Linked DNA regions of Mus musculus. The protein of the gene in region 2 interacts with the protein of the main gene of each other region in a biochemical or structural test. Links are inferred from orthologs where the notes say so. Each region holds a gene or a part of one and is shown on either strand. Other genes may lie near its edges.

Region 1 (3,652 bases), on a different chromosome or scaffold from region 2:
GACAGCAATGTTCCTTTGGCTTTTGTGCCTTTTTATTTCCTGAAACCACTAAAGAACTGAGAGAATCAGAGGCAGTGCTGTGACTCTTGACTTCAGGCCAATCGCAAGGCCCGAGGAGCTGGAGTGTGCGGGAACTGGGGGCTGAAGCAGTGAGCCTGGGGGAGGGGAGGAGAACTTACATGGAATGATCTGTAAAACCCGGTTCTTCTTCATGTTGGCTGGAAGGTTTCCCGTGCGCATCTTGTCATTCTGGATTTTGATTGAAGTTAATTTCTGAATGAAGAAAGAAGAGTGACTATTGCTCCCAGTGAAGAACCTGAGAGACTCCCGCCACTCACTAAGACCACACCTCCAGGCCCCGACCTTCTTCCCTACAGTGCTCGGCTCCATTTCCAAATGTCATTTCTGGCTTTAAGTTTAGTAAGGAGTCAAAAGAATGTTTGAGAAGCAACACCTTCTAGGCTCCTGTGGAACTTCCTGAGATTCCTCTAACCCTGAATTTTCTGGGCCACTTTTCTGCCATTTAGAAAAATATTCAAATTCTATTCTTTCTTCCTGGTTCTGAGGTTGTTTCCTTGTCTGCTTGGGTATGTTCCTTAATGTATGCATGTGGAGCCCAGAGGTTGAGGTTGGTGACCTATACTCTCTACCGTACTTTTTGAGACAGGGTCCTCTCACAGAGCCTGGAGTTTGCTGTTGCAGTTAGCTGGCTGATTGGCCAGTGTCTGTCCCTTTTCCTGGCTGTTTCCCCAATAGTGGGGTTACGGGCACACCCCATCATGCAGTTTTCATAAGGGTGCTGGACATCCAAACTCGAGTTGTCAAGCTTGTGCAGCATCCCAGCGAATCAAGTATACACTGCAGTGCAATAAGGACGCTTTAAGGTGATTGGCTCTCTGTCTCCGCATTTACCACCTGTCTCACGCCTGAGAGCACACTCATCACACTGCCTTGTCTTTTTAGACAGGGCCTCTCTACATAGCCCACCCTGTTCTGGAACTTACTCTGTAGACCAGGCTGGCCTCAAATTCTTAGTAATCTACCTGCCTCTGCCTCCCAAGTGCTGGGATAAAGGTGTGCACCACCACACACAGCTCGATTCCATTTCTTAGATTTTGAGATAGTCTTGTAATCTTCCTGCCCCAGACTCCCACATAGCTGTAATTGTTGGCCTGTAGCCCTCGGCTCAGCTTAGGCTTGGGAACTTCATTTTTGTTTGTTTGTATTTTGAGATAGGTCTTTCTATGTAGTTCTGGCTGCCTTGGAGCTTGCTGGCATCAAATTCAGAGATCCTCTTGTCTATGCTGGGATTACAGGGGTGAACTACCATGCCTGGATTCTAGGAGTACTTCTCCATGAGAATATGACATGGGTTTTATCTGTTTACTCTTGGGGGGAGCAGAAGGCTTCTGGGGATTGACGCCACAGCCACATGCTATGCATACGTTCTATCACCAAGTTAACCCCCTAGTCACAGGCCTAAGTGTTAAGTCACTGTCTAATCGCATCAGTAGTGGTCGGCAACCTAGGGTTCATGGGCCCAACATTGCCTATTACCTGGAAATAACAGCCTAAGCCATTGGTTCCCTTGTCTCTGGGCGCTTCTGTGTTACAACGGCAGTATCGAGCTGTTGGAATACTGCATGGCCTGCCTTTTACACTGCTGAACATGAGAATCACCGAGGGGTGCTGAGAGGTGTAAGGAAATACTGTTTCTATTCACTTCCCTTACAGACAGTTCAAGTGACTTTATCACGCAGGACACACTCAACTACCACTGGCCATGGCTCTCACAGAATTAGCATTTTTCCTAGATCCTTTTTTTTTTTTTTTTTTTTAAGACCATGTGGTCCCTTCTGTTTGGACACTGTCCAGCTTCAACTCACCTTAAACTCCTCCTCTAACCCGTTGTTGCTCGTCCCTGGGATCTTGTTATAAATTTTTTGTAGGTGGGTTTCTAGAGAAGTCACTTCCAGTTCTGTGTCCCCATACAGATAATGCTCCAGAAGGGCCTGGTATATGAAGACGTACTGCATCTGAAATGTGGATCACAGAGGTCTCAGTTACCAACAGCATGGCACCAGATCACTCCCAGGGCTAGCTTTACTCAGTGCACTTTCCCTCTGATTTTAGCAGGGATAGACTTGTCATTCATACTGTCCCAATACAGTGACGCAGCACTTGAAATGCATGAGTTCTCCTGAGGGTGGGGCGGTTAGGTTGGGAGACATGGTTCTGGCCTGGCGGATACCAAAGTCTGGAGCCTGCAAGGTCTGCAGGGCAGACCAGCCTGGATCCATCCCGGGTCTGTGATGTGCCCAGAGTCTCACTATTGCTCTTGGACTTAGCAGCATCATGACTGTGGGCCCTAGCACGTTTGCATTCAATACCAACTGTTCCCTTATCCTTAAGGTCCAATAGAAACAACAGCCACCTTTCTGTTTCCCCCAGCCACGGAGCTACAACCTCTTGTATGCGCTATTTCCTTTTAAAAAGATTTTTATTTATTTTATGTGTATGAGTGTTTTGCCTCATGTATGTATGTGTAAATACTATGTGCATACTAGTTTCTACAGGCTACAAGAGGGTGTTGTGTCTCCTGGAACTGGAGACACTGTTACAGATAGTTGTTAGCTTCCATTCCATGTGGCTGCTGGGAACTAAACCTGGATATTCTAGAAGAAAAGCTAGTGCTTTTAACCACTGAGCCACCTCTCCAATCCCCATGCCTACTTTCTTTACGTATATGGCAGAAGGAAGGAACTAACATGTAATCTGTCCTTTGATCAACACATGCGTTCCATGCATGTGCATACACACTGTATGATGCCCATGCACAATGGAGTCCTCAGAGCAGGCAGGCGTCCTGGCAATAGAAAGCCTTTCCCCTGCCTCACCCGCTGGTCACTCACGTCTGTCTGTACCATCTGGCAGCGCTGGGCCCGGATCCGGCTCACAAACCCGTATACATCCACTTTGCGTTCCGAATGCATCATGTCCAGCATGGCATCGATGACAACAAAGGTGCCAGTGCGCCCTACACCTGCACTGTAGCCAGAGAGCATGGGGTTAGTGCGTTCAGGGGCAGGCAGGGCAGAGTGCACAGCTCAGGGGGCTCCAAGCAGACAAACTGTAATTCCTAATGGGACAGAACACTGAGCTAGTGTCAACAATCCTACTGAGCTAGGAGTTCCTGGTCTCTAGTTATCAGAGCCTGGGTACCCTGATATTTAAGGGTCTCAAGTTGTCAAGGGAACTGAGTCAGCCAACTGGCTTCACAGTGTGGTCTCTCTACTCCAGACCAAGGAGGGCTGCCCTCCTAAGAAGAAAGGTACATTAACGCCAATAAATATAATAGCAAGAGCAGATGATTTTATCTCATGCATTGTCAGGGGTATATACTGAAAATAATGGGAGCCAGGGAACAATTTCTATAACTGCAAATGCAGCTTTTGGAGGTAAGACATAGTCTCTGACTCAAGTCTTCCTTCATAGTTATTTCAGAACCAGAGTAAGCTGCCTAACTCCCCGGTCATATTCTCCACCTCAGAACAGAGCTGGAGGATTCCTTCTGGCTGCTGCCTGGGGTCCCAGCTATGCATGTCTTCTGTGTCAGCCCCCTGGGTCAGGTCCCTGCGCTGACCCCTTACTG
Region 2 (3,179 bases):
CAGCAAGTGTGAAGGCCCAGGCGTGACACCACAGCGACTTCCTGTGTGCTCAGGCCGACCTCATGGCAGTGAGGCTCTGCAGTTGGCACTCAGGTGGTTGAGTCCCTGTGCAGCCAGCCTGTGAGGGATGCACTCAGTCCTCCTCACGTATGAGCAGGAGTTCTGGTTAGGACTGCCTCGTTTACAGCCCGAGTGAGGGAATGCTGAGAGTGTGTTCAAACCTGTTAAGAGGGGCTGGAGAGATGGCTCAGCGGGTAAGAGCACTGACTGTTCTTCCAAAGGTCCTGAGATCAAATCCCAGCAACCACATGGTGGCTCACAACCATCTGTAATGAGATCTGATGCCCTCTTCTGGTGTGTCTGAAGACAGCTACAGTGTACTTACATATAACAATAAATAAAATCTTTTTTTTTAAAAAAAAAAAAAAAAACCTGTTAAGAGAGCTCTGGCACACACAGCCCAAAGTGTTTGCTGCTCCCCACTAGCCAGTATTGGCTATTCTTAGTGACATGGGTATATATACCCTTGTGGGTTTTAAATGTTAATAAAGGATTCCTCTAATCCCACCTAGGACTTAGGAGTGTGTCAGAGCGGAGGGAGTGAGGTATGAGGCTTCTTTGGAAAGTGGGCGGGTTCCCACATGCTTGCCCTCCCTGGGGGAGCCAGGAGTCCAGCTTCCAAGGCCGCCTGGCAGCATGAGAAACACCGCTTCCCTGCTCTCTCTTGCAGCAGCCAACCTACGTCCAGGCGCTCTTTGACTTTGACCCCCAGGAGGATGGCGAGCTGGGCTTTCGCAGAGGAGACTTCATTCATGTCATGGATAACTCAGATCCCAATTGGTGGAAAGGGGCCTGCCACGGGCAGACCGGCATGTTTCCCCGCAATTATGTCACCCCAGTGAACCGGAACGTCTAAGAAGCAAAAGAGATTATTTAAAGAAAGTGAAAAGTTAAGACCGTTCACAAGAATTACACCCACACGCTGCCTGTCACAGCCTGTGAGGGAACGCAGAACACCTGGCTGGGTCCCACGGGTGACCCTCTCATTGGGTTGCAACTTTGGGGGGTGGGGAGGGGTGTTTGATTTCATAATGCCAAAACTTAACCTATTGAATGAATTACAGTTTTTATTACGGAATCTCGCCGCTACCCCTGTTCCCCTCCTGTGTCCTTTTTCTCGTTCTTTCTTTCCTGTCCAGTGCATGATGTTTAAGGCCACATATAGTCCAGCTGATGCCAATAATAAAAGACAAGAAACCAAGTGGGCTGGTATTTTCTCTATGCAAAATGTCTGTGGAGATGGATGGACTGAAAGAGCCGGATTCCTCACACACAGGGGCAGCCAGTGCTTCTGGGGCCCTGGTTGGGGTTCACCCGAGATGCCCAGGGGTACCGCCTCCAGCCTCAGGCCTGGAGCATTCCATCAAAGTTGGAATTAGGGGAAGGAGGCCCACTGTCCTCCCCGGTCTCCTGAGAGTCAGACTGCAGGCCCTCCCCTCTCCCACTGCTTCCCTTCAGGTGTTTTGACGTTTTTTTGTTTGTTTGTTTGTTTTTTTTAAATAGTGCCTTTGTCTTATTTCAAGGGTGTTCATAAATGGTATTTGTACCATTTTTTTTTTTAATAAGTTAAAGACAGTCCAGAGCTTTTCAGTTGATTCGTCTCCTATCCTGTGTAAATATTTTCCTCTCAGGGCAGGGGAAAGAGGACAGAGAAAGGAGCTGGTAGAAGCAGAGAGTGTATTTCCCATCTTGAATGGGCCGGAGGTCTCGAAGCCTCAGCTTTTACTTTGTGAGCTGCAACACTCGCTTCAGCTCAGACTCAGTGGACATCAGAGTCTCTGTCTCCGTGTCTCAGTTATGGTCTGCTCTCTCTATGCCTGGAGCTACTGATCCAAACACAAGACGGTCAGAGGAGCCCTGGCATCCTTCACTCTTATAGGCCTACATGCAGATGGGCTTGAAGAGAATTGGCCTTTCATTTTTCACGCTCGTATTTCCCCACCTGTCCAAGGGTGCAGATAGCAGGATTGTGGGGTCGGCCGCATCTCTCTTGGCAGTGGGTTGTGCTGCCCCTCCCCCCACCCCACCCCTCCATCCCACAAAGCCTTTCGAGGTAGGAGAGACCAAGACCAGTGCACAGCTTTTTAACTCTTGTCTTCTGTGAGTTTTCCGTCCTCTGTAGTCACGTGCCTGCACACCGTTCTCTCCACCCTGCCTCCTTCCCACAGCAGAAGCAGGGCTCCACCCAGGCCTTCCCTTGGAGTCGGTGCATCCATGGGCTGCTAGACTCTTGCGGGTAGAGTCTCCCCTGGACTTAGCATTGTGAGATGGACTCAGCTCAGGGCGCCCCTAAGGCTCGGAGGCGGCCTTCTGGGTCCCCACCTCTCCTGGTTCCGCTGCTGCTCTCCCTGCTGATGATAAAGTAATCTCTGGAGTCACACCTGGGCCATGTGATTGTTTTATTTTGGAATTGGTGTATATCATGAAGCCTTGCTGAACTAAGTTTTGTGTGTATATATTTAAAGATCAGTGTTTAAATAAAAAAAAAAAAAAAACCAACTATGTACTTACTCTGACTTCTGCGGACAGCAATTTGGTAGGTAGTGATTAACTGTGAATAAACGTACAATGAGTTCTTAACTGTGTGTCTTCATTTCTCCCTGATGGTGTTTTCAGTTTATTTTTTTATTTATTTATTTTTTTCAAGGCAGGGTTTCTCTGTGTAGCCCTGGCTGTCCCAGAACTCACTCTGTAGACCAGGGTAACCTTGAACTCAGAAATCCGCCCATCTCAGCCTCCCAAGTGCTGGGATCACTGCCCGTCCTGATTTTATTTTATAGATGGGGTCTCACTATGTTGCCCTGGCTGGCCTCAAATTCGCAGAGATTCTCCTGCCTCTGCTCCCAAATGTTGAAAGTAAAGGCTTAGAGTATGTTAACTCTGGCCGGCATCTCCAGACCCTGTGAACCTAGGACGAGTGATGTAGCTCATTATGTGGAAAATGGTTTAGACAAGAACTCAGAAGAACCCAGAGCTGGGCTGGAAAGCTCCTCTTCCCTTCCGAGCTGAGGGTGTGGAAAGGCTAATCTCTGAGGAAGTCGGTGAGGCAGCTACATGACACAGCCGTGACAGTGGTCTTTTGGGTGAGACAAAGTTGGTAACCACACGGTGCTGGCTAT
Region 3 (3,652 bases), about 66 Mb from region 2:
GTGTGAGGTAAGAGTGTACAAGGGATCCAGAAGGAACCGGTAAGACAGGGAGCTAGGCAGGGAGCAAGGTGGACACACAACATTGTCTCAGATCATCATGGATTCTAAACACTGTGCTAAGCAAAACATACACTACTTTGGGCTCTGTCTCACCTGCTTGTAGGCTAAAGGACCAAACATTCCACAAAAGGCAAGTACACGCCATAGTCTCATGAAGTTTCCAGGAAGTAGGGGCATTCTCCTGCCCTCACCTCCGGCTCCAAGTAAGGGAAAACAGTCCCCTCAAAAATCAATACAGCTTGTAAATCTGGGAAGTTATCATAAAGCATACATTTCATTAAACGTGTATTGTAAGGCTGACGGCCATAGCTCAGTAGTAAAGCATTGCCTCCTATGAGCAGCATCTGAGGCTCCATCTCAGCACCACACAAAAAGCAACAGTTAAGAGACAATAAGAATGCCTACAGGAAGAGGGGCGAGGGTGGAGAGATGGCTCGGTGGTTAAGGGCACTGGCCGCTCTTCCAGAGGACCTTGTTTCAGGTCCCAACACTCACACGGTGGCTTACAACTATCTGGAACTCTAGTTCCAAGGGATCTGATGCCTTTTCCTGGCCTCCATTCATGCATGTGGTACACAGACATAAATGCAGACAAAACATCCATACATAAAATAAAAATAAATACACTTTTAAAAAGCCTTCTGCATGAGGGAAGAAAATAAGCATCATATTGTTGATGGAAAATTCAGTGTCCTAAATAAAACTAAAAAGTGGCCTCAGTTATTTGGAGGTCTGGGGGAATTTTTAGAAATAGAATGATTCATTAGGAATCTTAGTTACTATTTAAAAGTGAACTTTACCATCAGAAGGTCTATTGCTTGGAATGACCACTTGGTGGCAGCAAAGGCTACACTTTGAAAAACCTGGTTATGGGGGTGCACAAGGGAAGGGAAGCCAGCACAGGCCTTTGGCAACAGAGGCAGGAGGATCACTGAGTTTGAGGCCAGCCTGGTCTACAGAGTGAGTGCCAGGACAGCTGGGGCTACATAGAAAAAAAAAGTTACTACAAACTGGAAGGCTAAACCAGAAAACCAAGATTGTTCTGCAGTAGGGTGGCCCCCTACCTCTGTGTTTACAGTGGCTGAGGGGAAAAGCTGATCTGAACAGTGTTTTGTACACAGTATGACTCCACGGCTTAACCTGGACTCTCAAAGTACCAAACTTTAAAAAGAAGAAAAAGACGTTCTTAGGGTGGGGATGGATCAGGGAGTGAGCACAAGCACCAGGAACTGAACTCAAACCCCCGGCGGCCATGTGAAAGGCCAGGGTGCTTACACATGGAACTGGAAACCAGTGCTGGGGGTGTCGGAGAGGCGGAGTCAGGAGACCACCAGCCTCCCTCCAGGTTCAGGAAATAAGGCCAAAACTGACCTCGTGGCCTTTAAACACACATGAATAAGTGTGCACTCACACATGTGCACATACACCACACAAACACTCATACATAAAAACATTAAGTTCTTTTGTAACTAGATGACTGACGACCAAATGGTCCTTTTAAAAATACAGTTATGTGATTACTCACTCTATGAATGATACCAGCTGAATGCAGATGCTTGATGCCACAGAGCATCTGGTAGAGAAGGTAGGACATTCTCTCATGGTCCAGTTCCATATGAATAACCTGACATAAGTTAGCATCCATTAGTTCCATTACCAAGTACCTGAGTATTCAAAAAGAGACCAACCACACTCATTAGTAATATTTTTAAACATTCCTTCATGAGTCTTAGCTCACAATCATTATGAAGCAGTACCGACGGGGTATTAACACTGCATGCTGGAAGTAAAAGCACTTTTAATAAAGTAGCTTGAAAAGAATCAAATATATAATAGGAGTCTGTAAAATTACCCAAAGAATATACAAACAACTAACTTACTCATTGTTTTTCTGCCTTTCAAATTATAAACAGAACTTTTTTTTAACCATGGAAACAATCTCGTACAAACTTTTCTACTTTTATTAACCCATGTGTCTGTCTGTCTGTCCACCTATCTATCTTTTGTTAGATCATCCTTTCAACATCTATACCATGCTGCTGTAGATTCTTGCTCTTTAACAATACATGATTCTGGCAGGGCTGCTAATGTAGAGGGTTTATACAGCGGGTAAATGGAACTCTGAACTTTCCGAACAGGTTGGTTATGTATTTGGACTGCTATAAAAAATGAAACCTTTTTTTTTTTTCTGGTGATTTTTGGTGTTTTTTTTTTTTTTTTTTGGCTTTTTCAGACAGGACAGGGTTTCTCTGGGTAGCCCTGGCTGTCCTGGAACTCTCTGTAGACCAAGCTGGCCACAGACTCTGAGATCCCTCTCCTCTGCCTCCTGAGTGCTGGGATTAAAGGTATGTGCTACCATCCCCTAGGTGAAATCTGTCTTTTAAGGCTGACCATACAACTTTCAAGCTCACGGTCCACCAGCAGCATAATAGCCCCACCCCAAGCCCACAGAGGTGCTTAGACACATCATCTCTAACTCCCCTCCACTGCTTGTCATGACATTCTGACTCAGCATATGCCTAGTGTCTGCCCAAACTGATGACTTCCACATCTGCAGAGACCCAAAGGCCAGTGCTAAGAACTTGGCTGCTTTCTGTGCCTAATTGCTTCCTTTTGTTGGAGCGGCTGGAGTCAGATCCTGGCTCTCCTCTCACTGTTCCTGTCTTGGTGCTATCCAGGTTGCTGTGCCTTGAAGGACCATTTATAGATTATTCTTCCATTCCTTTAATCCAGGCCCCTCCTGAACACCAGGTTCTTTCCTCTCTACCCACTTCACTGTTCCACTTGGACAGTCAATAGTGTCTCTGAATTCATGTCTAAAACTACTTGTGAGTCTAGCTACTTAGCACCCCAAGTCTGGTCCTCTCATAGTTCTCCATATCTCAGCCAAAAGCCTTTATGTGTGGCTTTCAATTTCTCTCTCACATCTAGCATCGGCAGATGCTAGGCCTCACCCTCAGACAGTGTTGGTGTCTAATCTCAAGCCCTTCCCATTACCCACTTGAACCTCTCATATGAACTGCAGTGATTGCCTCCCCATACTAACTAGGCCTTTTTGTCCTACCTCTCACAGTGGATTCTCAGCCCCTCAAAACCAAGTGTTCTTTTAAAATATGTCAGGTAAGATCACTGCTATGTGGGAAATCTCACTCTGGCTTCCTTTCCTATATGCATGCTACTTCTCTAAGCCATACCCCCTTGTCACACATACCCAGCCACCCAGACCTCTGGGTAGCAGCACACACCAGCTAAGCTCCACTGCTGCTCGTTTACTCTGGCTACACCTTCCATGTCAATTCCACTCTGTCCCAGTATCTGCAGAACAAACCGCTCCTCCCCTAAGCCTTTCTCCTACTGCCTCACTGTGATCTTTCCCCATCTACCCTGTGACGAGGAATTGAAGTCAGCAACTTGACTAGGCCAAGGAATACTGCGCTGGCAGCCTTACGTGAGGGGTGTTTTGGAGGGTGTTTGGGTAGTAATTATTATGTGAGTCTGAATGCACTGAGTACAAAGCATAGAGCAAGATCCTGAATGAGCAAATCTAGAGAATGAAGGAGACTCTCCTCTGAGAGCTGAAACAGACTTTCAT

What was found.
Region 1: the proteins of Grb2 (region 2) and Ptpra form a complex in vitro, tested with the Homo sapiens proteins (3 studies listed by BioGRID and IntAct). The link is inferred for Mus musculus from reciprocal best matches to the Homo sapiens genes GRB2 and PTPRA.
Region 3: the proteins of Grb2 (region 2) and Mapk9 form a complex in vitro, tested with the Homo sapiens proteins (2 studies listed by BioGRID). The link is inferred for Mus musculus from reciprocal best matches to the Homo sapiens genes GRB2 and MAPK9.

The regions. Positions count from the first base shown.
Region 1 is NC_000068.7:130,540,691-130,544,342, reverse strand, and holds part of Ptpra (receptor-type tyrosine-protein phosphatase alpha isoform 2 precursor), read right to left. Parts: intron 3,049-3,652; coding exon 2,913-3,048; intron 2,037-2,912; coding exon 1,887-2,036; intron 553-1,886; exon of another isoform or gene 274-552; coding exon 180-273; intron 1-179. UniProt on the Homo sapiens protein: Tyrosine protein phosphatase which is involved in integrin-mediated focal adhesion formation.
Region 2 is NC_000077.6:115,643,506-115,646,684, reverse strand, and holds the end of Grb2 (growth factor receptor-bound protein 2), read left to right. Parts: intron 1-730; coding exon 731-916; 3' UTR 917-2,640; downstream 2,641-3,179. UniProt on the Homo sapiens protein: Non-enzymatic adapter protein that plays a pivotal role in precisely regulated signaling cascades from cell surface receptors to cellular responses, including signaling transduction and gene expression.
Region 3 is NC_000077.6:49,867,244-49,870,895, reverse strand, and holds part of Mapk9 (mitogen-activated protein kinase 9), read right to left. Parts: intron 1,725-3,652; coding exon 1,586-1,724; intron 1-1,585. UniProt on the Homo sapiens protein: Serine/threonine-protein kinase involved in various processes such as cell proliferation, differentiation, migration, transformation and programmed cell death.